3 linked regions of the Struthio camelus genome follow. The protein of the gene in region 1 purifies or fractionates together with the protein of each later gene. This does not show direct contact. Links are inferred from orthologs where the notes say so. Each region holds a gene or a part of one and is shown in the gene's direction. Other genes may lie near its edges.

Evidence for each region.
Region 2: the proteins of GEMIN4 (region 1) and DDX20 purify together in Homo sapiens (co-immunoprecipitation; 7 studies listed by BioGRID and IntAct, counting the BioPlex papers as one, with this or other methods). This does not show direct contact. The link is inferred for Struthio camelus from reciprocal best matches to the Homo sapiens genes GEMIN4 and DDX20.
Region 3: the proteins of GEMIN4 (region 1) and SNRNP70 purify together in Homo sapiens (affinity purification with mass spectrometry; 5 studies listed by BioGRID and IntAct, counting the BioPlex papers as one, with this or other methods). This does not show direct contact. The link is inferred for Struthio camelus from reciprocal best matches to the Homo sapiens genes GEMIN4 and SNRNP70.

Annotation. Positions count from the first base shown.
Region 1 is NC_090957.1:18,138,212-18,145,275, forward strand, and holds the start of GEMIN4 (gem-associated protein 4), read left to right. Parts: upstream 1-4,049; 5' UTR 4,050-4,114; coding exon 4,115-4,124; intron 4,125-4,222; coding exon 4,223-7,064. Other genes in the region: GLOD4 (glyoxalase domain-containing protein 4), read left to right, coding at 511-597, 836-949, 1,037-1,123, 1,637-1,702. UniProt on the Homo sapiens protein: The SMN complex catalyzes the assembly of small nuclear ribonucleoproteins (snRNPs), the building blocks of the spliceosome, and thereby plays an important role in the splicing of cellular pre-mRNAs.
Region 2 is NC_090965.1:9,049,499-9,057,205, forward strand, and holds the start of DDX20 (probable ATP-dependent RNA helicase DDX20), read left to right. Parts: upstream 1-4,652; 5' UTR 4,653-4,732; coding exon 4,733-4,928; intron 4,929-5,027; coding exon 5,028-5,122; intron 5,123-5,486; coding exon 5,487-5,655; intron 5,656-5,946; coding exon 5,947-6,061; intron 6,062-6,143; coding exon 6,144-6,286; intron 6,287-6,669; coding exon 6,670-6,808; intron 6,809-7,262; coding exon 7,263-7,321; intron 7,322-7,707.
Region 3 is NW_027182627.1:9,730-16,668, reverse strand, and holds the start of SNRNP70 (U1 small nuclear ribonucleoprotein 70 kDa), read left to right. Parts: upstream 1-3,838; 5' UTR 3,839-3,962; intron 3,963-4,809; 5' UTR 4,810-4,820; coding exon 4,821-4,967; intron 4,968-5,064; coding exon 5,065-5,127; intron 5,128-6,199; coding exon 6,200-6,254; intron 6,255-6,356; coding exon 6,357-6,421; intron 6,422-6,509; coding exon 6,510-6,572; intron 6,573-6,939. UniProt on the Homo sapiens protein: Component of the spliceosomal U1 snRNP, which is essential for recognition of the pre-mRNA 5' splice-site and the subsequent assembly of the spliceosome. SNRNP70 binds to the loop I region of U1-snRNA.

The DNA of each region.
Region 1 (7,064 bases):
ATAAAAACAAGTGTTTCTCTGACCTTTTCAACATTAGCTTTTATTAGTGCATCCTGCTTCTATCTTACCTCTTACACGTTGCAAGAGAAGAGATTCTCACGGTTGTTAATGCTTCTGGGTTTACATTTTAAATGATTTGTTAAAAGCATTTCTCCTTTGTGAATTATTGCCCAGAATGCTTATACAAATAGAAATCAGTGGTACAAGTTGACTGTTCCGTTGAGACACTTACCTGCAAGTGAACTTACTTGTTCAATGTTTTGCAAAGAAAGGCTGAAACTGTCAACAATTCTCAGTCTTTCCTACTTTGGATTGTTTGTGTGTGTGTGTGCTTGTGTGCACTTAATTCATTTTTTAACCAAAAGCTATGGCTTGCTCTGGTAGTTCTAACTCATTGGGAAATATGTATGTGGGTAGTTTTGACATCATCGGTATCAGTGAAAAGCTGGAGTTAAGTGTAGCGCTGAGAATAGTGTCCTTGCAAATTAGGCTATTTTTTTCCTCTTCCAGTGTAAATTGGAGTTGAAGAACGTTGGAGGAGCAGTGGATCATGGGACGGCATTTGGGCGGATTGCCTTTTCCTGCGCAAAGGAAGAGGTAATCTTTTTTCTCTTCCCCCTTTCATTTGGCCAGCTGGCTACTAGGAGATTATTTTCTGGTATTAACAAAATATCTCAGATGTGAACAAAGTAACACTGAACAGATGTTCTGTTCCTATTTCTTGCAGTGAGAACACAATGGAGAAACGGGCTAACAGGAAACTGTAAACGAGAACAACCTGAATGCATCTGATCTTCAACTGACTAGGGCTGGTCTTGTTTCTTTTCTGTTTCAGTTGCCAAACATTGAAGCACTCATGAAAAAGGAGCATCAGAAAATTTTAACACCTCTAGTTAGCTTGGACACACCTGGCAAAGCCACAGTGCAAGTGATTATTTTGGCGGATCCTGTGAGTAATATTGGCAAGACTGACAGATTTGATTTAAATATCTGTCTCCCAGTTATCTAACTTACTGTGCTGTTAAACTTGGTTTAGGATGGCCATGAAATCTGCTTTGTGGGAGATGAAGCATTTAGAGATCTGTCCAAGGTGGATCCTAATGGTGATAAACTGTTAGATGATGTAAGTAATGCTGTCTATGCATGAGTTTTCATACTGATCAGTTAGACGCCCAGTAGAATTTAATTTCCTTTCCAAGGAAGCTCCCTTTAGTTCCAAATGGAGTTTTTTCAGAGAAGCAAGTCATGTGGTGTTTTATCTCAGTCTCCTTTCCAGCTAAGGAAAGCAAATCAATTTTTAGAGTTCACTTCTGTGTCCTGGCTAGTTTTCCAGCCTTGTTCTCAGGGCAGCCAAGAGGTTGTGCATCTTGCTGGACCTGTCAAACAACACTTTGGTGCAAGTTACTGCAGAAAATGATTTGTCAGCTGCAGTAACATCCCTGCAGTTGAAGATCCTTCCGCGACAGAGAGGCACTGGCAGAAACCATGAGGTTTCCTCAGCAGAATAGCTTGCTTCAGAACTAGATTGATTATAAGGATGCTTTCTAAATTTGTGGGGCAGGCTGGTGAATGTCAGCAACCAGGTGTCTGGCTGAATGGGCTTCTGTTCTAAATACTAAAATTTTTCTTTGTACAGGCCATGGCAGCAGACAAGAGTGACAAATGGTTTGCAGAGAAAAACATGAAGAAGGCTTCTGCTTAGTTGGAGAATAAGACTCGTCTGATCATTTGTGCCTTGGTTGCCATCTGAGTGAAATGCCTATAATATGTAACGTGTTGTGTTATCCTCTTCAATAAGAGGCCAGTGTAATGCTGGGGGTTTTTTTGAGCTTGTATCTCTTAATGCTAATCTCTCCTTTCCAGTAAATGCTACGTGCTCCTTCAAATGTATGCAAAAAATTGGGTTGTACAGTAAGGAACAGATTGAGCATATGGCTTCAAAAACAGGAACCATGAGTTAATAGGTAGAAAATCTCTCACATTTCTCTATTCCTGTTAGACTTGAAAAGGAGGCCCAGAGTTTCTCCTCTAACACTGCTACAGCTCTCTGATATCTTGTGTAGTGCGCTGTTAACAGCTGTTAGCGTGCTGTGAGCAGCTGTCCTCAGTTAGCCTTCTGCCATGGTTGTGAGTGAATAACGCTTCTACGGTTTTCCTGTTTAATGTCACCAGAGGCAAATTTCTGATGTATTGAAACAAAGGTATTAAAAGATAATTAAAAAGTGGGACCCTAATTAATTGGCTATATTCATTAAAGAATTAAAATAGGAATTAAGTTTGTGGATGAAATGAAAGCTATTTACAGATGTTCTCAAACATTCACTATTAAAGCAAAACGTGAGGTCAATAGTAACATAAGAATATTACGTGGAAAAGGCCTATTCTGTTCCCATTAATGGATGGGATAAGTTAAGGAGAAAATTTCCATGTCAAAAGCTTATCAACAATGGTAGAGTCAGAGAGCAGGTACTATTAAAGCTTATTCTATAATAAATCTGTAGATTCATTAGAATCTGTGGATTTATTAGACTATCTAGTCCTCCAGTTAATTGGGTTTGGCCAACCTGGATTTGCTGCTCAGAAAATAGGTTTTCAGGTAGCTCTGGCCCTGAATATGGCAGCTGTCCTGCTTTGGTGATGAAGTTTCAAGCTGAAGCTGAGGGGGTGTCTACAGAGAACTTGACCATTTTGTAGCTATGATAGCGGACTCTTATTTATTGAGAACAGGGTAACTATCCTGGTGATGCATGTGAATATTCTAGTCTGGAAAATTATTTTCATTCCAAAATCTTTGCCTGGCTTTCACGGTGAAGTATGCACTTTGGAAAGCTGGATGGATTTCTCACTGGGGTCATACTACGTGAATCCACTGGATGTATTCGATCCCGTACCCAGCCCCTGCCTGCGTAGCTGCTCAGCGCAGCACACAGCACCGCACGTTCCAGGCTGGAGCCTGGCTGTGCCTCGGGGGGTGCAACAGCTCCGTGCCTTCCCCTGAGGGGCCAGGAAGTAACTTCAGATACGTACACATGGCTTTGCAGTTAGCTTTGATGTTAAATTACCTTTTGGAAGCAATGGTTATGGGTTTATGGGTTGGAATAAAGTCGCTCTGCTTTTGCTAGTGGAATGAGAACTTGGGAATACAGGGACTCATTACTAGCATTGTTCATGTTCGGCAGGCTAGCTGGCTTTTAATCTTTCTTCATGAAAACCTGAAATAAGTTTTACAGAAAAAAGGAGGCAAAATCAACAGCATTAGCAGTTGTGTATCACTGAGACAATTTAAATGCTTACGAGGAATATGCTGAATTAAAATGGGAAAAAATCCTCAATATGTTGTTTGCGCTTTTTGTTTCATTCGATTAAGCCAACTACTGATCAAGTAAAAATATTACACTTAAATTGTATCTCCACAGCCTGTTGTTTTGAAAACGTGCAATTAAATGAATAAAAGTGCTTTGTGGTGACGATGATCTGAGATCTGTTCTTTCAGCTACCCTGCAGGGCATTCTTATGCAATGTTCTGCCAGTTTTAATGTAATTCTCAACGCCTTTCATGCAAACAAAAAAAATCATTGCAAAGTTGTGTCAAAAGGGTGGGAAAAAAGTTCCACTCGCTGCCTGGCCTGGTGGGAAGCCCAGGCACCGCCCGGGGCTGCACCGGCAGCGGGGGAGCCTTCCCGTGCGCGGGTTTAAACCACGGCAGATGCAGAGAGGAGTTCTTCACGTCCGAAAAGTAGCTTTTAAGTAGCACGACCCCAAATAGATCGTCCAGAGCTGTTAAAGGTTTCCTACTGCCCCGGGGGGGGGGGGGGATGTGACACCCCCCCTGTCCGGGAACCGGCCAGGCGGCGGCGGCGGCGGCAGCGGCAGCTCCGCCGCTCCGCCAGGGGGCGCTGAGGCGGCGGAGCGCAGCGGCGGCAGCTCCCCCGCTCCGCCAGGGGGCGCTGAGGCGGCGGAGCGCAGCGGCGGCAGCTCCCCCGCGCCGCCAGGGGGCGCTGAGGCGGCGGAGCGCAGCGGCGGCAGCTCCCCCGCGCCGCCAGGGGGCGCTGAGGCGGCGGCGGCGCGCTGGCGTCACAGAGCGCGGCGGCGCGGGGCGCGGGCCGGGGCCGCCATGGAGGCAGGTGAGCGCGGGCGGCCGCGGGGGGCGGAGGAGGAGGAGGGGGGGGGGCGTCGGGCCGGGCCGGGCCGGGGTAACGGTGCGCCGCGTGTCCCCGCGCAGGGCCGTGGGGCGTGTGCGAGGAGATGGCCATCCTGCACGGCGGGTTCCTGCTGGCCGCCAAGCTCTTCCAGCCGCGGCCGCTGCGGGAGCTGCGCAAGGCCGACTGGCCGCTGGTGGGGCCGCCCATCGCCGACGCCCTGCGCGAGATCGGCGCCCGCCGCCCCGCCCCGCCGCGCCCCGGCCTCTGGAAGAAACAGGCCGTCGCCATCGTGTGGGCCAAGGTGCTGCTGCCCGGCCCCCCGCCCGCCTCGCTGGACCGGGGCTGGCGGGAGGACGCCTTCTTCTCCGTCGGGCGGATGATCCCCGACGTTAACCACACCGTCCTCTTCGAGCTGGCCAAGGCCCTCAACGTGCCCCGGCTCTTCGTGCAGCTGCTGCTGGCGCTGCCCCGCCACCTGCGCCGGGGCGAGCTGGAGCGCTTGGTGGAGTACGTCGCCAGCGAGACCTCCCCGGCGGACGTCAGCTTCTTCCTGGACGTGTGGTGGGAGGTGATGAAGCACAAGGAGGAGCAGGAGGACGGGACGGCCTCGACGTTCAGCGCTCTCATCCGTCAGCACGGGTCCGAGTCCTCTCCGGACGACGGGCTCCAGCCCCCCAAGAGGTTCAAGAGCGACCCTGTCTCTGTGACTGGCCCGCCGGCTGCCGCCAGCCTGCTCGTGGTCCTGATAGAGGGGCTGAAACAGACCTACAGGAGCATCACCCTGCCCCGCATGAGGTGCTACGCCTTGGCCAACCTGGCGGAGCTGCTCTCTGTGTTCACCGAGCTGGAGCCAGAGGGCAGGTCCCTCCCCGTTGCTGAGTACCTGGACAAGGTCAGCTCCGTGGTCAGCCTCTGGAACAGCGATGCTGAAAGCCGGTACCACCGGAGAGGGCTGGACGAGAAAGTGAGGGAGGCTGAGAGAAGCATGAGCCTCTTGTCCGTCGTCAAGCTCTCTGACGAGGAGCTCTTTGCTGGCTTGGACTTTCTCCGCACCTTGCTGCATGCCTGGGGAGAGGAGCTGCAGGGCACTCTGAACAACTCTGAGGAGCTCTGCTATGAGAGCTACCGGCTCCTTGATACGCTTACCACCCTCAGAAAGAACCTGGTTTGCTTCTCAGAGACTAGAGACCTGAGCGAGGACGAGAAGTCCGTAGTGCTAGAGCTGACACAGATCATCGGGGACTTTCTCAAGAAGATCAGCACCAGTCTGAAGAGCAAGGATTCAGACACCAGCCTTGTCTCTTCAGTTGCCATGACAATCATTGAGCGGAAGCTGGACCGGCACGTGGAGATGTGCTCCGTTTTTGCTTCTGAACAGACCTGGGCCTTTTCAAAGGACTGGGTTGACTGCCTTGTGAAAAACAAAACTCTCTTCCAGAAACCAGAGCTAGTTTTGAAATTGCTGGATACTGTGGTGAACTTTACTGTGTCCTCCCAAGACAGGGAGGCCCGAGAGTTGCAGATGCAAGTGACCAGAGCCATCCTGGAGTGTTACACTGAGCTTTCATTAACTGACAAGAATGAAGTCCTCTCAGGTGTCCTGGCTTCCTGGGGTGGTCCGGGTCTGTCCCTGAACTTGCAGGTTGTCATGGAGGGATTCCAGGAGGATCTGAATGTGACGTTCAACCAGATAACGCAGAGCGTGTCCGATCAAGGCCTGTCCAGGGCTGTGGCTTCTGTGGCCAGGCTCACTCTGCTGTACCCTGAGGCCACCGTGAAGAAGGTTTGTAATCTTGCTGTTGTCAACCTAGGAACACACCAGTTCCTTGCCCAAATCCTCTGCTCCTTCCCAGCACTGAGCTTCCTGGAGACCCACGATGATCCAGGCAGGCCACGCAGTCTGATAGTGAGGTGTCTGAAGGAGGCGGTATGGGGGAAGCTTTCCACAGCGAGAGAAGAGGAACAGTTTCTTGAGTTCTTGGCCTTTCTCATGCAGCCAAGCTCAGCAGCTCCACTTGTGTCACCTGCAGAGGTGACTAAAGCCTTTATCCTTCCCTGTTTGAAATCAGACTGCGCTCAAATTGAGCTGAGCCTGCAGATCCTCAGTAAGGTTTTGGGGATGCAGTCCTATCCAGAAGAGCACTGGATCAAGTCCTGCTACCCATTCCCGCTCCTCCTCAGCCTCTGCAAGCTTCTGGATGGTTACACAAGGTACTGGCATCGGCCCAGGGACCAGCACTTCCCTTCACTGGAGACCAAAGACCTGGTGGTGAACACCCTCTCCCAACTCTGTGAAGTGGTAAGACCAGAAGCCGCCCCATCCCCTGAGGTGTGGGTCCAGTCGCTGGCTTGGCTTCATAGGAAGTTGGCATCACTGGACTGGACTGTTGGTCTCCACCTGAAGAAGCTTTACGGAGACCATTTCAAGAATGAGGTCCCAGAGACGCTATTTGAGATCTGCAAGCTCCCAGAGGACGAGTGGACGTCCCGGCCTTTACCAGCCTACGGGCCGGGCAGCGGGCTCTTGGCATGGATGGAGTGCTGCTGCGTGTCCACAGCGCTCAGGGAGACGATGCTGACGCTCCTCACGGTCAACGTGGACAACCCTGAAGAAGTGAATCTCTTCAGCAAAGGGTTCCTGGTGGCCCTCATACAGGTCCTCCCTTGGTGCAGCCTTAGCGAATGGAAGAGGCTGGCGCATGTGGTCCAAAGCTTGCTGCAGAGGCAAGTCTTACATGTGCCGTACACGCTGGAGTACGTCCAGTACATGCCCCTGCTCAACCTCCGGCCTTTTGCCCACTACCTCCAGTTCTCTGTGCTTTTCCTCCGAGGCTTCCAGCTCCTCTGCAGCTCCAGCTGCTCCACTTGGCTGCCGGCAGAGGCCTGGCTCCACGTGGTCCAGCTGTACTGCAGCAGCCTAAC
Region 2 (7,707 bases), on another chromosome or scaffold:
TTGGAACCTTTCAGGCCCCCTCATCTAGAGAGCAAAGTTTCTGATAGAATTGGGACAGAAAGCAGTCGTCTTCCCTGCAGGAAGAAGAGCAAGTTCCTGGGAATTAGCATTTGTCTCCATTTCAAATGCAGCAAAAGACTGTCACGGTGCACATGCTGTGACTCGCGAACCAGGCAATAATCCTGCCAGCTGCTGCACACAGGCAGTGCCCTCTTGCATGGAGCTTTGTGCGATGTACGAGTACAGGGCAGCAAACTGAGCTGGGGCCTCAGAGGTCAGATAGTGAGCCCTTAGCACATTTGCATGGTTGTACAGAGAGACTGGAAGTATCTCAGTTTGCACCACTCTGTAGTTTTGACTGTGAGTTATTTGTTCTACAAAACTATTTGATTAAATCAAAATGCACCTGATAACTCGCATTTTACTGTGAGACACCGTGTGTATTTTCTGGATCTGAAACCCAGAGGCAAAGGCACTCCTTTGACTCATGGCAGAATATATATATTCAGAGATTTTAAAACAAAGTTAGTAGCAGTAGAGTCATAATCTTCTACAGGTGTAAGGTTTAAGGGAGAAGCAAAACCTTTCGTTAGATGAACTGAGATAGCTCAAGAGGGAAAGCTTTTAGGATCTGAGCATCTGGTCTATCAGACACAGACAGTCTAGTCTCATCCTGAGTCATGCCTCGATAACATCATCATCTACCAGGGCTCCTGGCATGGTATAGAGGCAGAGTTAAGCTCGTTTTTGTACCTGAGCAGGTACGCATGACCTGCAGACGCTTCTGGAGCTGGAGCTTATGTGAAACATCAGGTGCTGCGGAACACAGTAGACCACATGAAATGGCTGGGAGGGCTTATTAATGTGAATTAGCAACTGTCCACAGATTTACTTGAGAAATCATGCAAAAGAGCCTATCTGCCAACTTTGAGCTACAGGCTGTATGCACATTGCGGGGAATGAGGGGGACTGCATGTCCCCCTCATGCATGAGGAGCATGTCCTCAATTTGACACAGCACAACCAGTGAGGGCCAAAAACAAAGGGAGAGGAACAATAAATCTGCCAGTCGTGGTGTCATAGTGCTACTCAGCATAGACATTGAGATGGTTTGGAACCTCTCCCTCCTGCATCTGACGGAGATTGAGAAAATTAAATAAACAGCAGCATCTTTGGAATTAAGGTAGTGCATCTCAATGTCCTATTAACAATGCATCTCAGAGAACGATGACTTCTGTAACCAAATCACCTGAGTTGCATTACAACATGCCTGCTATCCTTGCTGCTATATCCATGCCTGCTGCAGTTGCTTTATCACTTCTTCCCTGTCCTTCCCCCAGGTAGGGTGCAGATACTTCCCACTGCTCTTCATTGTCTGTTCAAATCAGATCAATTTAAAAGGGTTATGAGAGGCTGTCTCTAATCAAACCATTTGTTATGTCCAGGTCTCCTTGTCTGTCTCCATTCCCAGATTTATCCGGAGACAATTCTCTCATGTTAGAGACTTGTTTCCCCTTTAGGACCAACTGGGAATATCCACCTAAAAATTGAAAAATAATTGGAACTAACAGAATGCTTGTGAATAGCTATCCTGTTACCTCTGCTCTGTGGCAGAGTTCTCCTCCCTACCATCTGGTTTGTCCTGACCTCGTAGAGATAAGCTCTCCAAAGCAGAAACTGTATATTCTTTTTTGTATTGTGCTTGACACAATGGGGCCCCAGTCTTGGTTGGTACTCAAATATTCATGTAAAAAGATCATTAAAAAAAAACAGACTTTTTTTCCCCATCAGTAATATGATGGAATTGCAAAGGAGTCGCAGAGAGTGTACTACGCTAAGAGCCTTTAAAATTCATTTAGGCTGCCTGGCAATGTAGGAATAATGAACCAGTGTATGTACTCATACACTGGAAGCCACTGTTGAGATTTTTCACATCCCCTTACAACGAATGGGAGCTGCATGTCCAGATCCTCTGAAGGGCTATGACAATAAAAACTGATATGTATAATGAAACCACACACAATTTAAAATAAGCAGTCTACAGAAGGTAGTAAGTAATGCATATACAAGAGATTAATAGATTTGGCCTTTGCTGAAGTTAATGCTGTACTATTAATTTTTCCTAGCACTTTGACTTTTAGATCTTGTTTTTGTACACAATATAACTGCATCCCAGACTTAGAGTGTTTAACAAGAAACTCATTTCTGTTGTCAGGGTGGTAGAACAAAGGCTGAAACTAGAGGGGTCAGAACACAATGTTCGTGCCATTTTCTTACAGTAGGATAGCTTAGAGATTACTGGTGACTGCTTTCTCCCCCAACTAATACAGCTATGGATACTCAGGGCACCTCCTGTCAAGAAGCTTGCTGAAGCTGTTTTGGCACTGCGATCAGTTTTGTACTTCTCATCCTCTTACGCAGCCTTCTACATCATTCCTTTGCTGACCCATCTGCCTTCATTTCCTCTTATGACTCCCTCTCGCTCTATGCTCACTCCTCTCTTCTGACTATTCTCGTGTGTCCTCCTCCTCCCATTTCTGGCCTGGTGCCTTCTTTCACTCCGCCCTGTGCTCAGTTCATCCTCCTACATGCCTTGGGCCACGTTTTCTCTCTATGGTTCAGACTCATTGGCTAATTAAAGCTCCTGCACTGGTCTTGCAGCAAGGCCTCCAGATCTCACTGTAGTGTGTCTGCTCAGGTATTATAGAGGTTTCATCCTCTGTAATATTTGTAAGGTTAAGCTGTTGTGCTGTTCCTAAGACAAATGATCTCAGGAGTGGATGAAAGGTTGCTTAGCTGAATAGGTTTATCTGTCTCCATCTAAAGCATCACTTTTTCCTAGACATAATCATTAATTGCCTCTATGTGGCTAAATGCACCTACGAGATACACAGCGGGGAGTCACAGCCCTAATTATTGCAGTAAACAGGAAATGCTAATGTCAATGGAGAAAACAAAACAAAACAAAATGAAAACAGGAAGCTAGCTGCAAAGATTTGTTGTAATTATTAGCCCCCAAAGCAGACAGTCTGCTTCTGGACTAAACGCATCAAACCTGCCGTAGACTGGCAGGGAGGCATAATCTGTCCCCTATCCTGATCTTTTACAGATAACTCGTTTGCAAGCACCTTGTCCTCTCTTGGAGCGTGTATCTGTTTCCATCTGTTTTAAGGTACCTTATTCCTTATTATGACTGAACTACGAGGTTTAGGAAAAACTCAACTAGATATGCTGTGTCGGTGACCAGCTACCTGTGGAATGGCATGTTCATCAGAGTCAGAGATGGGTGGGTTACCTGTGTTATGGGAATATGTGAAAATACACCAGTCAGTAAGATTTTACTGCACAAAGTCTATTTCAAATATTGTACAGACCACGAAGCTTCATATTGCGTGTTAGGATAACTCTGAAATGCAGTGGTGTTAGAAGGGTTTGAAGGTTATCTCATAGCTTCACCTATAAGCAAGAAACAATTTTTCTAAAGATCACTTGTAGACAGAATCAGATACTAAGATCACTTGTAGACAGAATGGGGGAAAAAATGAGGAAGAAAATGCTGCTGGAGGAAAAGATGACAGCGTGCAGCATCATATAGGGAAGCTGAGGCAGAGGAGGGAGCAACGACGTTAAGGAATAAGGAGTGGATTCTGAAGTCTTAAAAAAGAAGGAAAGAGATATCCCTACTGAGAGCAAGCAGTGGTACTAGATAAGAAAAAGTTAGTGGAGAATGGCCTTAGAAAAACAGGATACAAACATGCTGCACAGATAGAGCCATGGTGAGAATTAGTATTCGCGCTTGGAATGTGAAATTCAGTCAAAATCAGTGGGATCGTTTTCTGCTGATTTTGGTAAACCAGAAATTCATCTGTGGTTTACTCTACTGAAAATTCAAGGTAAGTCATTTAAAACTGCATACAGATTGTTCCAGGTCCCATTTGACGTACCTGCCAGCCGAGGGGAACATCTGCTGTGGCAGGTAACTCGGGGCATTTCGAGTTTTCCTACAGGGACTGTTCTAAGATCTAAATCCCACCCACTCGTCTTTAAGAAGGCAATATCCTTTTCCACCACATCAATCACAAGAGTCAAATTTTTGGTAAAGCGCCTATCAGCCTGAAATAAACTGTACGCCAGGCCGAGCGCATTATTTATTGCCTTGCTTTGGATAGTAATGAAGAGCCTGCGATTTCAGACGGAGCAAAGCAAACGCAGCTTTTGCCCCGAGGGATCACGCCACATGGCTAAATTGTGTAATCAATCATTTCTGTCACGTGGCCACACGGAGAACGATTTTTTTTTTTGTATTTGTTTTTGCAGTTCGTAGAATTTTAATTCTGGAGGGTTTTTTACGCCAAAAACCTCGCCGGCGGCAGCGTGCACTGCCTGGGTGCTCCGAGGGGGCGGCCGCCCCCGCTCTGCCACGGGGCCGCGGCGGGTACCGCTAACCGGCCCGGGCCTGGCAGCCGTGGGCACGGGAGGCTGCGGGGCCCCACGGCGGAGCCTCCGCGCTCCCCGCACCGCCGCCAGGCCCGGGCCGCGCTCCGTGAGGGGGCGCGCGGCGCGCCGCGACCGTTAACGGCCCCGCCCTCAAACGGGCCCCGGCGGCCAATCCGCGCCGCCCCCTGGCGCCCGGCGGCCCCGCCCCTCTCCCCCCGCGGCGCGTGCGCAGGCCCGGGCGGCGCGTAAAGGCGCGTCTGGGGCCGCGCTGCCTCTTCGCCGTCCCGCCTCGCAAGATGGCGGCGCCCGCGGGCTCGCCTCCGCCTCCTGAGGGCCGGTTCCGCACGCGCGACGTCCTGGTGCCCGGGGGCCCCAGCGACTTCGGCTCCTTGCTGCTGTCGGCGCCGGTGCTGGCGGGGCTGGAGGCGGCTGGCTTCCACAGGCCCTCGCCGGTCCAGCTGAAGGCCATCCCGCTGGGGCGCTGCGGCCTGGGTGAGGGGCCGGGGCCGGGCCGGGGCGTCGAGCCGGCAGCGGGGGGGAGAGGGGGCGTTGGGGCGGCGCTGCTGACCCCCTCGGGCCGCTTTCTTCCAGATCTCATCGTGCAGGCCAAGTCCGGCACCGGCAAAACCTGCGTGTTCTCCGCCATCGCTCTGGACGCCCTGCTGCTGGAGAACCCCGCGACGCAGGTGAGCCCCGGCCCCGGGGCCCTTGCCGGGGTCGGGCCTTCCCTCCACCTCGGGAGCGGGAACCGCTGAGGTGGCCTTGGAAGATGGCGCGTTCGCATCTGTGAAACTCCTGCTTCCACCCCTACTGTAACGTGCCATCCTTTAGTTTGCCTCATGAGTGACATGTGCTGTGGTAAAAAGTTACTTCAGTTTTTACCGCTGCTGTGTGAGTTTAGTAGTTAGGAACGAGTTTGAACTCTTAGTAGGTTTTTATATAGAACGTGGTGTTTGAAATCATGAAGCTGGTAGCGTCAAGACTGGTTGCTGTACTTCTGTCTTCTAAACCATTCTGCTGCTTTCAAGGCTAATTCTTTGTCCCTTAAAGATTCTGATCTTGGCTCCGACAAGAGAGATTGCTGTGCAGATTCATGCTGTCGTCACAGCCATCGGAATAAAAATGGAAGGTTTGGAGTGCCATGTCTTCATTGGAGGAACTCCTTTGAACCAGGACAAAATAAGGCTAAGGAAATGCCACATAGCTGTTGGCTCTCCAGGTATGGACATGCTTCAGTGTACTTCAGATACAGTCTGACGCACTTTTCACACTACAATAATTGGTGCTTTTGAAATCTTGATTTTTTTTTTTAACTAATGGGGCCAATCTCAAAGGCCACTGCTAAAAAAAAAATTAGGCCAAATGTTTTTATTGAGACATTATTTTAAATAAACCTTTTAAAAAGAATTTATTGAAATTAATATTAAAAAAATTAAATATTATAAGTCTCCTGATTAGAATCATTCAGTTAATATTTGTGAAGCCTAGATTACTTTTTTATCTTTTGTAGGTCGGATAAAACAACTCATAGAGTTGGATTACTTAAATACAGCCAGTATCCGGCTCTTCATTCTTGATGAAGCAGACAAGCTTCTAGAAGAAGGCAGCTTTCAGGAACAAATTAAGTAAGAAAAATGTTTATCCCCCACACTTAGCAGATTAGATGCATATTTATGAGTCTTTCTTGTAAATGTCCTTCTCTTGTAGTTGGATTTACTCTTCGCTGCCGGCCAATAAGCAGATGCTGGCTGTTTCAGCCACTTATCCTGAATCATTAGCTAGTGCTTTGACCAGGTATATGAGAGAGCCAACATTTGTGAGGTTGAACCCTACTGAGCCAAGTCTCGTTGGTAAGTGTAAGAAACTCATTTACATTTATATGAAATAGATTATTAGGAGTATAATAAAACCAAAATATATGCCTTAACACTTGCAGTGCCTTATCATTTCCCTTTATAGATAAGTTGGTTAGTTCACTAAGTGTTTATTCGCAATATTGCTGTATTTAAAACACCAGTGATAAAGTTACTTTTTTGGTTTTCCTATACTTCAAAAATGTTCCATTCTTTTAAGAAAAATTGTCCTGTAGGTTCTTATTTGGTACCTGTGTTTTTGTTCTAACTTAGTCTTTCTTCTAGCTGCAATTACATTTAAGTTGACAACAATATAGCACATTGCATGTTTTTACTGAAGCCATTAATCTGATGGCCTTTTTTTTTTCCCCCTTGCCCAGGGCTGAAGCAGTATTACAAAATCGTCAATTCCCATCCACTTCCTCATAAGACATTTGAGGAAAAAGTCCAGCACTTACAGGAGCTCTTCAGCAAGATTCCATTTAATCAAGCCTTAGTCTTCTCAAATTTGCATAGCAGGTAATAAATCTGAAATGAAATCTGAAGAAAACTATGCTTGAAAACAGTGGCTATAATATGCAGTCATGTAGCATCTTTTATAAAGGTCTCAAAACACAGCTGAAGCCAAATGCAAATTTCAGATCTGAAATACAGTCACAACATGTAAAATATAGCAGTGTGAAGTATTGAAAAGAAAGGAATGTTTTGGCATGAAGTTACCTCATACGTTGTTTAGACTGCAGTGAGAACTAATATCCTGTCGTACTTTCCCAGTCTGGTCTGACAGATGCAAAATCTGTAAGGTGACTGACTAGTTTGGACATAAGATGAGACTGACAATTTTGGAATGTAATCCTTGCCTGTAAAGAACAGCATGTTGTTAAAAAGGACACATTGACTGTTATGCCTAGCACTGTCTTGGTACTGCTAAGCATGTAGTTTTATTTAGTTTTCATTGTGTATGTCCTGTTAGGGCTCAACATCTAGCTGAGATACTGACATCCAAAGGCTTTCCTGCTGAGTGCATTTCAGGTAAGTCTGTTCAGAACTTTGTGATTCTCTAGGCTGAAGTTTGTGCATACATCTGATCTAAAATGGGAATATTCAGCTTAAAAGCTTGGTTTGTAAGACTTCTGTTTGGATAGCAAAGAATAGTATTTGAATCTTCACAGGTCTTTAAAGACTTGCATGTTATTAATCTAATTTTTCCATTGATCAGCTTTTCTACTTTTTAATCTGTTGCTGACAGTCATTATATGAATATCTAGACAAGTGCATTGATTTATTTTTAAAGAGAAAGTTTATTACACTTGCATCTTCAAGCAGTGTCTGTTTGGAAAGCTGTTGTTGCATTTAAATCCCCCCCCCCAACTTCTCTATTAACGGCTGATAGCTAGCTCTTACGGTTGTTAGAAGCC
Region 3 (6,939 bases), on another chromosome or scaffold:
TTCCCTAGTGAGAGTAATGGGGGGACCCCACTGGTGACAGGGACCCTCCCAGGTGCCACCTTACAGCTATAGGGCACTCCCTTAAGCCCCTATGTAGAGGGACACCTGGGACCTCCTCTAAGTCCTTGGAGGTCCCAGGTGCCCCCCTACAACTATGGGTCACCCTCTTAAGTCCTTGTGGGTCCCAGGTGTCCTCCTACACCTGTGGGTCACCCCCTTAAGGCCTTGGAGGTCCCAGGTGTCCTCCTACACCCATGGGTCACCCACTAATTCCTTGGAGGTCCCAGGTGTCCTCCTACACCCGTGGGTCACCCCCTAAGTCCTTGGAGGTCCCAGGTGTCCTCCTACACCCGTGGGTCACCCCCTAAGTCCTTGGAGGTCCCAGGTGTCCTCCTACACCCGTGGGTCACCCCCTAAGTCCTTGGAGGTCCCAGGTGTCCTCCTACACCCGTGGGTCACCCCCTAAGTCCTTGGAGGTCCCAGGTGTCCTCCTACACCCGTGGGTCACCCGCTAAGTCCTTGGAGGTCCCCTGCCCCCACCACCCCCCACCGTCGTCACCGAGGGATCCCCACCGCCGCCGTCCGCCTGTCACCGTCCGCTGTCCCCGCGTCACCCAGGGGTCCCCGCCGCCGTCACCGCGCCAGCCCCGGGGAGGGGTTGTCCCCCACCGCCGCCCCCCGGGTGTCCCCCACCACCGTCCGTCCCCCCACCCCCCCCCGTCACCGGGGCGTCCCCGACCGCCGTCCCGCCGCCGGCTGTGTCCCGTAAACACCCGCCCGGCTCCGACGGTGTCGGGTTCCCCCCCCCCCCGCCACCAAAACACCCCGCGGGCTAAAAATAACGAGGTGGCGACGGCGGTTCGGGGGGGGGATGGGGAGCCCGGACGCCTGGGCCCTCTCCCGTGTCCTTCCCCCCCCCCAGCCGTGACACCCGGCCCCATAGCGGGGGTGGGGGAGGGACCCAGGCGTCCGGGCCCCGTCCGCATGGGCGTTGTCACCCGGCGCTACAGGGTGACGGGACTGTTGTTGGGGTTGCTGGGGGGGGGTTGTCACCCCGGTTGCTATGGCTGGGACAGGTCACGGGTGCTGAGGGGGGGTCGTCACCGCGGTTGCTAGGGCAAGGACAGGTCATGGTTGCTATGGTGAGAATTGTCACCCTGGTTGCTAAGACAAAGGTAGATGAGGGTTGTTGTGGGTACGTTGTCACCCTGGTTGCCGTGGGGGGGATAGCGGTTGTCACGCGGTTGCTAGGAGGTGACGGGGGGCTGTTTGCCTGGTTGCTAAGAGGTGACAGGAACAGTGTTGTGGTTGCTATGGGGGGGTCGTCACCCTGGTTGCTATGGCAGGGATAAGGTGGCTGTTGCTATGGGAGGAGGGTCGTCACCCTGGTTGCTAGGGAGGGGATGAGGTGGTCACCTCGGTTGCTATGGGGAAGGTCAGGGGTCACCACCCCGGTCGCCATGGAGGAGGGGTCAGAGGTCACCACCCCGGTCGCCATGGAGGAGGGGTCAGAGGTCACCACCCCGGTCGCCATGGAGGGGTCAGGGGTCACCACCCCGGTCGCCATGGAGGAGGGGTCAGGGGTCGCCACCCCAGTCGCCATGGAGGGGTCAGGGGTCACCACCCTGGTCACCATGGAGGAGGGGTCAGGGGTCACCACCCCGGTCGCCATGGAGGAGGGGTCAGAGGTCACCACCCCGGTCGCCATGGGGAGGGGTCAGAGGTCACCACCCCGGTCGCCATGGAGGGGTCAGAGGTCACCACCCCGGTCACCATGGAGGAGGGGTCAGAGGTCACCACCCCGGTCGCCATGGAGGAGGGGTCAGAGGTCACCACCCCGGTCGCCATGGAGGGGTCAGGGGTCGTCACCCCGGTCACCATGGAGGAGGGGTCAGAGGTCACCACCCCGGTCGCCATGGAGGAGGGGTCAGGGGTCACCACCCCGGTCGCCATGGAGGGGTCAGAGGTCACCACCCTGGTCGCCATGGGGAGGGGTCAGAGGTCACCACCCCGGTCGCCATGGAGGAGGGGTCAGGGGTCGCCACCCTGGTCGCCATGGAGGGGTCAGGGGTCGTCACCCCGGTCGCCATGGAGGGGTCAGAGGTCACCACCCCGGTCGCCATGGAGGAGGGGTCAGGGGTCACCACCCTGGTCGCCATGGAGGAGGGGTCAGAGGTCACCACCCTGGTCGCCATGGAGGAGGGGTCAGAGGTCACCACCCCGGTCGCCATGGAGGGGTCAGAGGTCACCACCCTGGTCGCCATGGGGAGGGGTCAGAGGTCACCACCCCGGTCGCCATGGAGGAGGGGTCAGGGGTCACCACCCTGGTCGCCATGGAGGAGGGGTCAGAGGTCACCACCCCGGTCGCCATGGAGGGGTCAGAGGTCACCACCCTGGTCGCCATGGGGAGGGGTCAGAGGTCACCACCCCGGTCGCCATGGAGGAGGGGTCAGGGGTCGCCACCCTGGTCGCCATGGAGGGGTCAGGGGTCGTCACCCCGGTCGCCATGGAGGGGTCAGAGGTCACCACCCCGGTCGCCATGGAGGAGGGGTCAGGGGTCACCACCCTGGTCGCCATGGAGGAGGGGTCAGAGGTCACCACCCTGGTCGCCATGGAGGAGGGGTCAGAGGTCACCACCCCGGTCGCCATGGAGGGGTCAGAGGTCACCACCCTGGTCGCCATGGAGGAGGGGTCAGGGGTCACCACCCCGGTCGCCATGGAGGAGGGGTCAGGGGTCACCACCCTGGTCGCCATGGAGGGGTCAGGGGTCGCCACCCCGGTCGCCATGGGGAGGGGTCAGGGGTCGTCACCCCGGTCGCCATGGAGGGGTCAGGGGTCGTCACCCCGGTCGCCATGGAGGAGGGGTCAGAGGTCACCACCCCAGTCACCATGGAGGAGGGGTCAGAGGTCACCACCCCGGTCGCCATGGAGGAGGGGTCAGAGGTCACCACCCCGGTCGCCATGGAGGGGTCAGAGGTCACCACCCTGGTCGCCATGGAGGAGGGGTCAGGGGTCACCACCCCGGTCGCCATGGAGGAGGGGTCAGGGGTCACCACCCTGGTCGCCATGGAGGGGTCAGGGGTCGCCACCCCGGTCGCCATGGGGAGGGGTCAGGGGTCGTCACCCCGGTCGCCATGGAGGGGTCAGGGGTCGTCACCCCGGTCGCCATGGAGGAGGGGTCAGAGGTCACCACCCCAGTCACCATGGAGGAGGGGTCAGAGGTCACCACCCCGGTCGCCATGGAGGAGGGGTCAGAGGTCACCACCCTGGTCGCCATGGGGAGGGGTCAGAGGTCACCACCCTGGTCACCATGGAGGAGGGGTCAGGGGTCGCCACCCCGGTCGCCATGGAGGGGTCAGGGGTCACCACCCTGGTCACCATGGAGGAGGGGTCAGAGGTCACCACCCCGGTCGCCATGGAGGAGGTCAGGGGTCACCACCCCAGTCGCCATGGAGGAGGTCAGAGGTCACCACCCTGGTCGCCATGGAGGAGGGGTCAGGGGTCGTCACCCCGGTCACCATGGAGGAGGGGTCAGAGGTCACCACCCCGGTCGCCATGGCGCCCCCAGGGCCCCCCCCCTCCCGCCGGTTGCTAAGGAAGGGGTCTCCCGCCCTCAGGTTGCTATGGAGGGGGGGGCGGGCCCGTCGCCTTGACAACAGCGCGGCGGCGGCGGCAGCGGCCGGGGTGGGGGGGGTGGGGACTATATTGCCGGCAGCGGCGCGGCGGAGGGATCCGCTGCCTGGCGGCGGCGGTTCCGCGTCCCCAGCGGCGCGCGCGCGCGGGCCCCGCCCCCTCCCCCCCCCCCTCCTCCGCCCACAGCCGCCGGCGCCCGCAGCGAGTCCCGGCGGCGGCGGCGCGATCCGGGGGCCGCGGTGATGCGGCCGCGCAGGCGCAGAGCGCGCGCAGCGGCCAGGCCGGAGCAGGCGGAGGGAGCGCGAGCGCCCGGGGGGCCGGTGCGGCGGGTGCGGTCACGTGGGGGGGGGATGGGGATGGGGGTGGGGGGGGCGGTGTGGGGCCGGGGCCGTGCCGGGAAGGGGGCCTGGTGTGGGGCCGGGGGGGCCGGAGGTGCGGGGAGGGGCCTGGTGGGGGGCCGGGGGGGGCTGTGTGAGGCCTGGGGGGGCTGTGTGGGGCCGGGGGGGGCTGTGGGCGTGGGGAAGAGGCCTGGTGGGGGGCCGGGGGGGGCTGTGTGGGGCCGAGGGAGCTGTAAGGGGCCGGGGGGGGGCTGTGGGTGTGGGGAAGAGGCCTGGTGTGGGGCTGGGGGGGGATGTGTGGGGCTGGGGGGGGCTGGAGGTGCAGGGAGGGGCCTGTTGTTGGGCCGGGGGGGCTGTGTGGGGCCGGGGGGGGCTGTGGGTGTGGGGAAGGGGCCTGTTGTGGGGCTGGGGGGGCCGGAGGTGCGGAGAGGGGCCTGGTGTGAGGCTGTGTGGGGCCGGGGGTGCGGGGGGGGGCCTCTATGGGGCCGGGCGGGGGGCTGTGTGGGGCTGGGGGGGCCGGGAGTGCGGGGAGGGGCCTGGTGTGGGGCTGTGTGGGGTTAGGAGTGCAGGGAGGGGCCTGGTGTGGGGCTGGGGGGGGCTCTGTGGGGCTGGTGGGACTGTGGGTGTGGGGAAGGGGCCTGTTGTTGGGCCGGGGGGGCTGTAGGTTTGGGGAAGGGCCCTGTTGTGGGGCTGTGTGGGGTTAGGAGCGCGGGGAGGAGCCTGGTGTGGGGCTGGGGGGGCTCTGTGGGGCTGGGGGTGTGGGAAAAAGGGGTCCAGGGGGGCTGCGTGGGGCTGGGGGGGGGGGCGCCACTCAGTCACAGGGTTTTTTTGCCCGCAGTCAGCCCCAAAATGACGCAGTTCCTGCCCCCCAACCTGCTGGCCCTCTTCGCCCCCCGCGACCCCATCCCCTACCTGCCCCCCCTGGAGAAGCTGCCCCACGAGAAGCACCACAACCAGCCCTACAGCGGCATCGCCCCCTACATCCGCGAGTTCGAGGTGCGCCCGGCCCCGCGGCCCCCCGCCTGGCCCCCCTATACCACCCCCTATACCACCCCCTATATCACCCCCTATATCCCCCCCCCCGTCTCCGCAGGACCCTCGCGATGCCCCGCCGCCGACCCGCGCCGAGACGCGGGAGGAGCGCATGGAGCGCAAGGTAGGTGCCGCCCGCCCCGCCGTGGGGTTTTGGGGATCCCCCCTGCCCGCCGAGGGGCTGCGGAGCACCGTCGGCCCCCCAAAATCGCGGGATTTTGGGGATTCGGGTTGGGTTTTGGGGCTGCTTCACCTCGACGTCGCTCTCTGCGTGACCTGTGTGGGTTTTGGGGCTCCCCCCGTGCCTGTCATGGGGTTTTGGGGCTCCCCCCGTGCCCGCCGTGGGGTTTTGGGGTTCCCCCCGCCCGCCAAGGGGCCGCGGAGCACCGTCGGCCCCCCAGAATCGCGGGATTTTGGGGATTCGGGTTGGATTTTGGGGCTGCTTCACCTCGACATCGCTCTCTGCGTGACTTGTGTGGGTTTTGGGGCTCCCCCCGTGCCTGTCATGGGGTTTTGGGGCTCCCCCCGTGCCCGCCGTGGGGTTTTGGGGTTCCCCCCGCCCGCCGAGGGGCTGCGGAGCACCGTCGGCCCCCCAAAATCGCGGGATTTTGGGGATTCGGGTTGGATTTTGGGGCTGCTTCACCTCGACGTCGCTCTCTGCGTGACTTGTGTGGGTTTTGGGGCTCCCCCCGTGCCTTTCGTGGGGTTTTGGGGCTCCCCCCGTGCCCGCCGTGGGGTTTTGGGGTTCCCCCCGCCCGCCGAGGGGCCGCGGAGCACCGTCGGCCCCCCAAAATCGCGGGATTTTGGGGATTCGGGTTGGGTTTTGGGGCTGCTGCTTCTTGATGTCGCTCTCTGCGTGACCTGTGTGGGTTTTGGGGCTCCCCCCGTGCCCGCCGTGGGGTTTTGGGGCTCCCCCCGTGCCCGCCGAGGGGCCGCGGAGCACCGTCGGCCCCCCGAAATCGCGGGATTTTGGGGATTCGGGTTGGATTTTGGGGCTGCTTCACCTCGACGTCGCTCTCTGCGTGACCTGTGTGGGTTTTGGGGTCCGCCGTGCCCGCCGTGGGGCTCGGCCTTGGGGTTTTGGGCTCTCCCCACCCGCCGAGGGACCCCGAAGCACCACCGACCCCCAAAATCGCGGGGTTTGGAGGCTGGCGGGCGCCGCGCTCCCCTCTCCGACCCCCTCTCGCTCCCCGCAGAGACGCGAGAAGATCGAGCGGCGGCAGCAGGAGGTGGAAAACGAACTCAAGATGTGTAAGTGGCGCCGGGACAGACGGACGCTTCCGGCTTTTCCGTCGGGGGGGGGCAACCGGGAGCCGTTTTCCGACTGTTTTCCACCCTTTTTCCTGCCCCTAGGGGACCCCCACAACGACCCCAACGCTCAGGGAGACGCCTTCAAAACCCTTTTCGTGGCCAGAGTGGTGAGTGCGGGGCTGGGGGCTGCGAGGGGGCTGGGGAGGGGGCTCCGCCGTCGCCCCCCCCCCAGCCCGCGCTCTCCCCTCCCCGCAGAACTACGACACGACGGAGTCCAAGCTGAGACGCGAGTTCGAGGTCTACGGCCCCATCAAGCGGGTGAGGGAGCCGGGGGGGGGTCCTGGGGGGGCTCTGAGGTCCTCTGTGGCTCGCTGGGGGTCCTGGGGGGCAAGCGGGTTGTTCGGGCTGGGGCAGGCGGCTCGGTGGGGGTCCTGGGGGGCAAGCGGCTGATTCGGGACCAGGGCAGGGTGCTTGGTGGGGGTCCTGGGGGGCAAGCGGCTGATTCGGGACCAGGGCAGGGGGCTCGGTGGGAGTCTTGGGGGGCAAGTGGCTGATTCAGGACCAGGGCAGGGGGCTCGGTGGGGGTCCTGGGGGGCAAGTGGCTGATTCAGGACCAGGGCAGGGGGCTCGGTGGAGGTCCTGGGGGGGCAAGCGGCTAATTCGGGACCAGGGCAGGGGGCTCGGT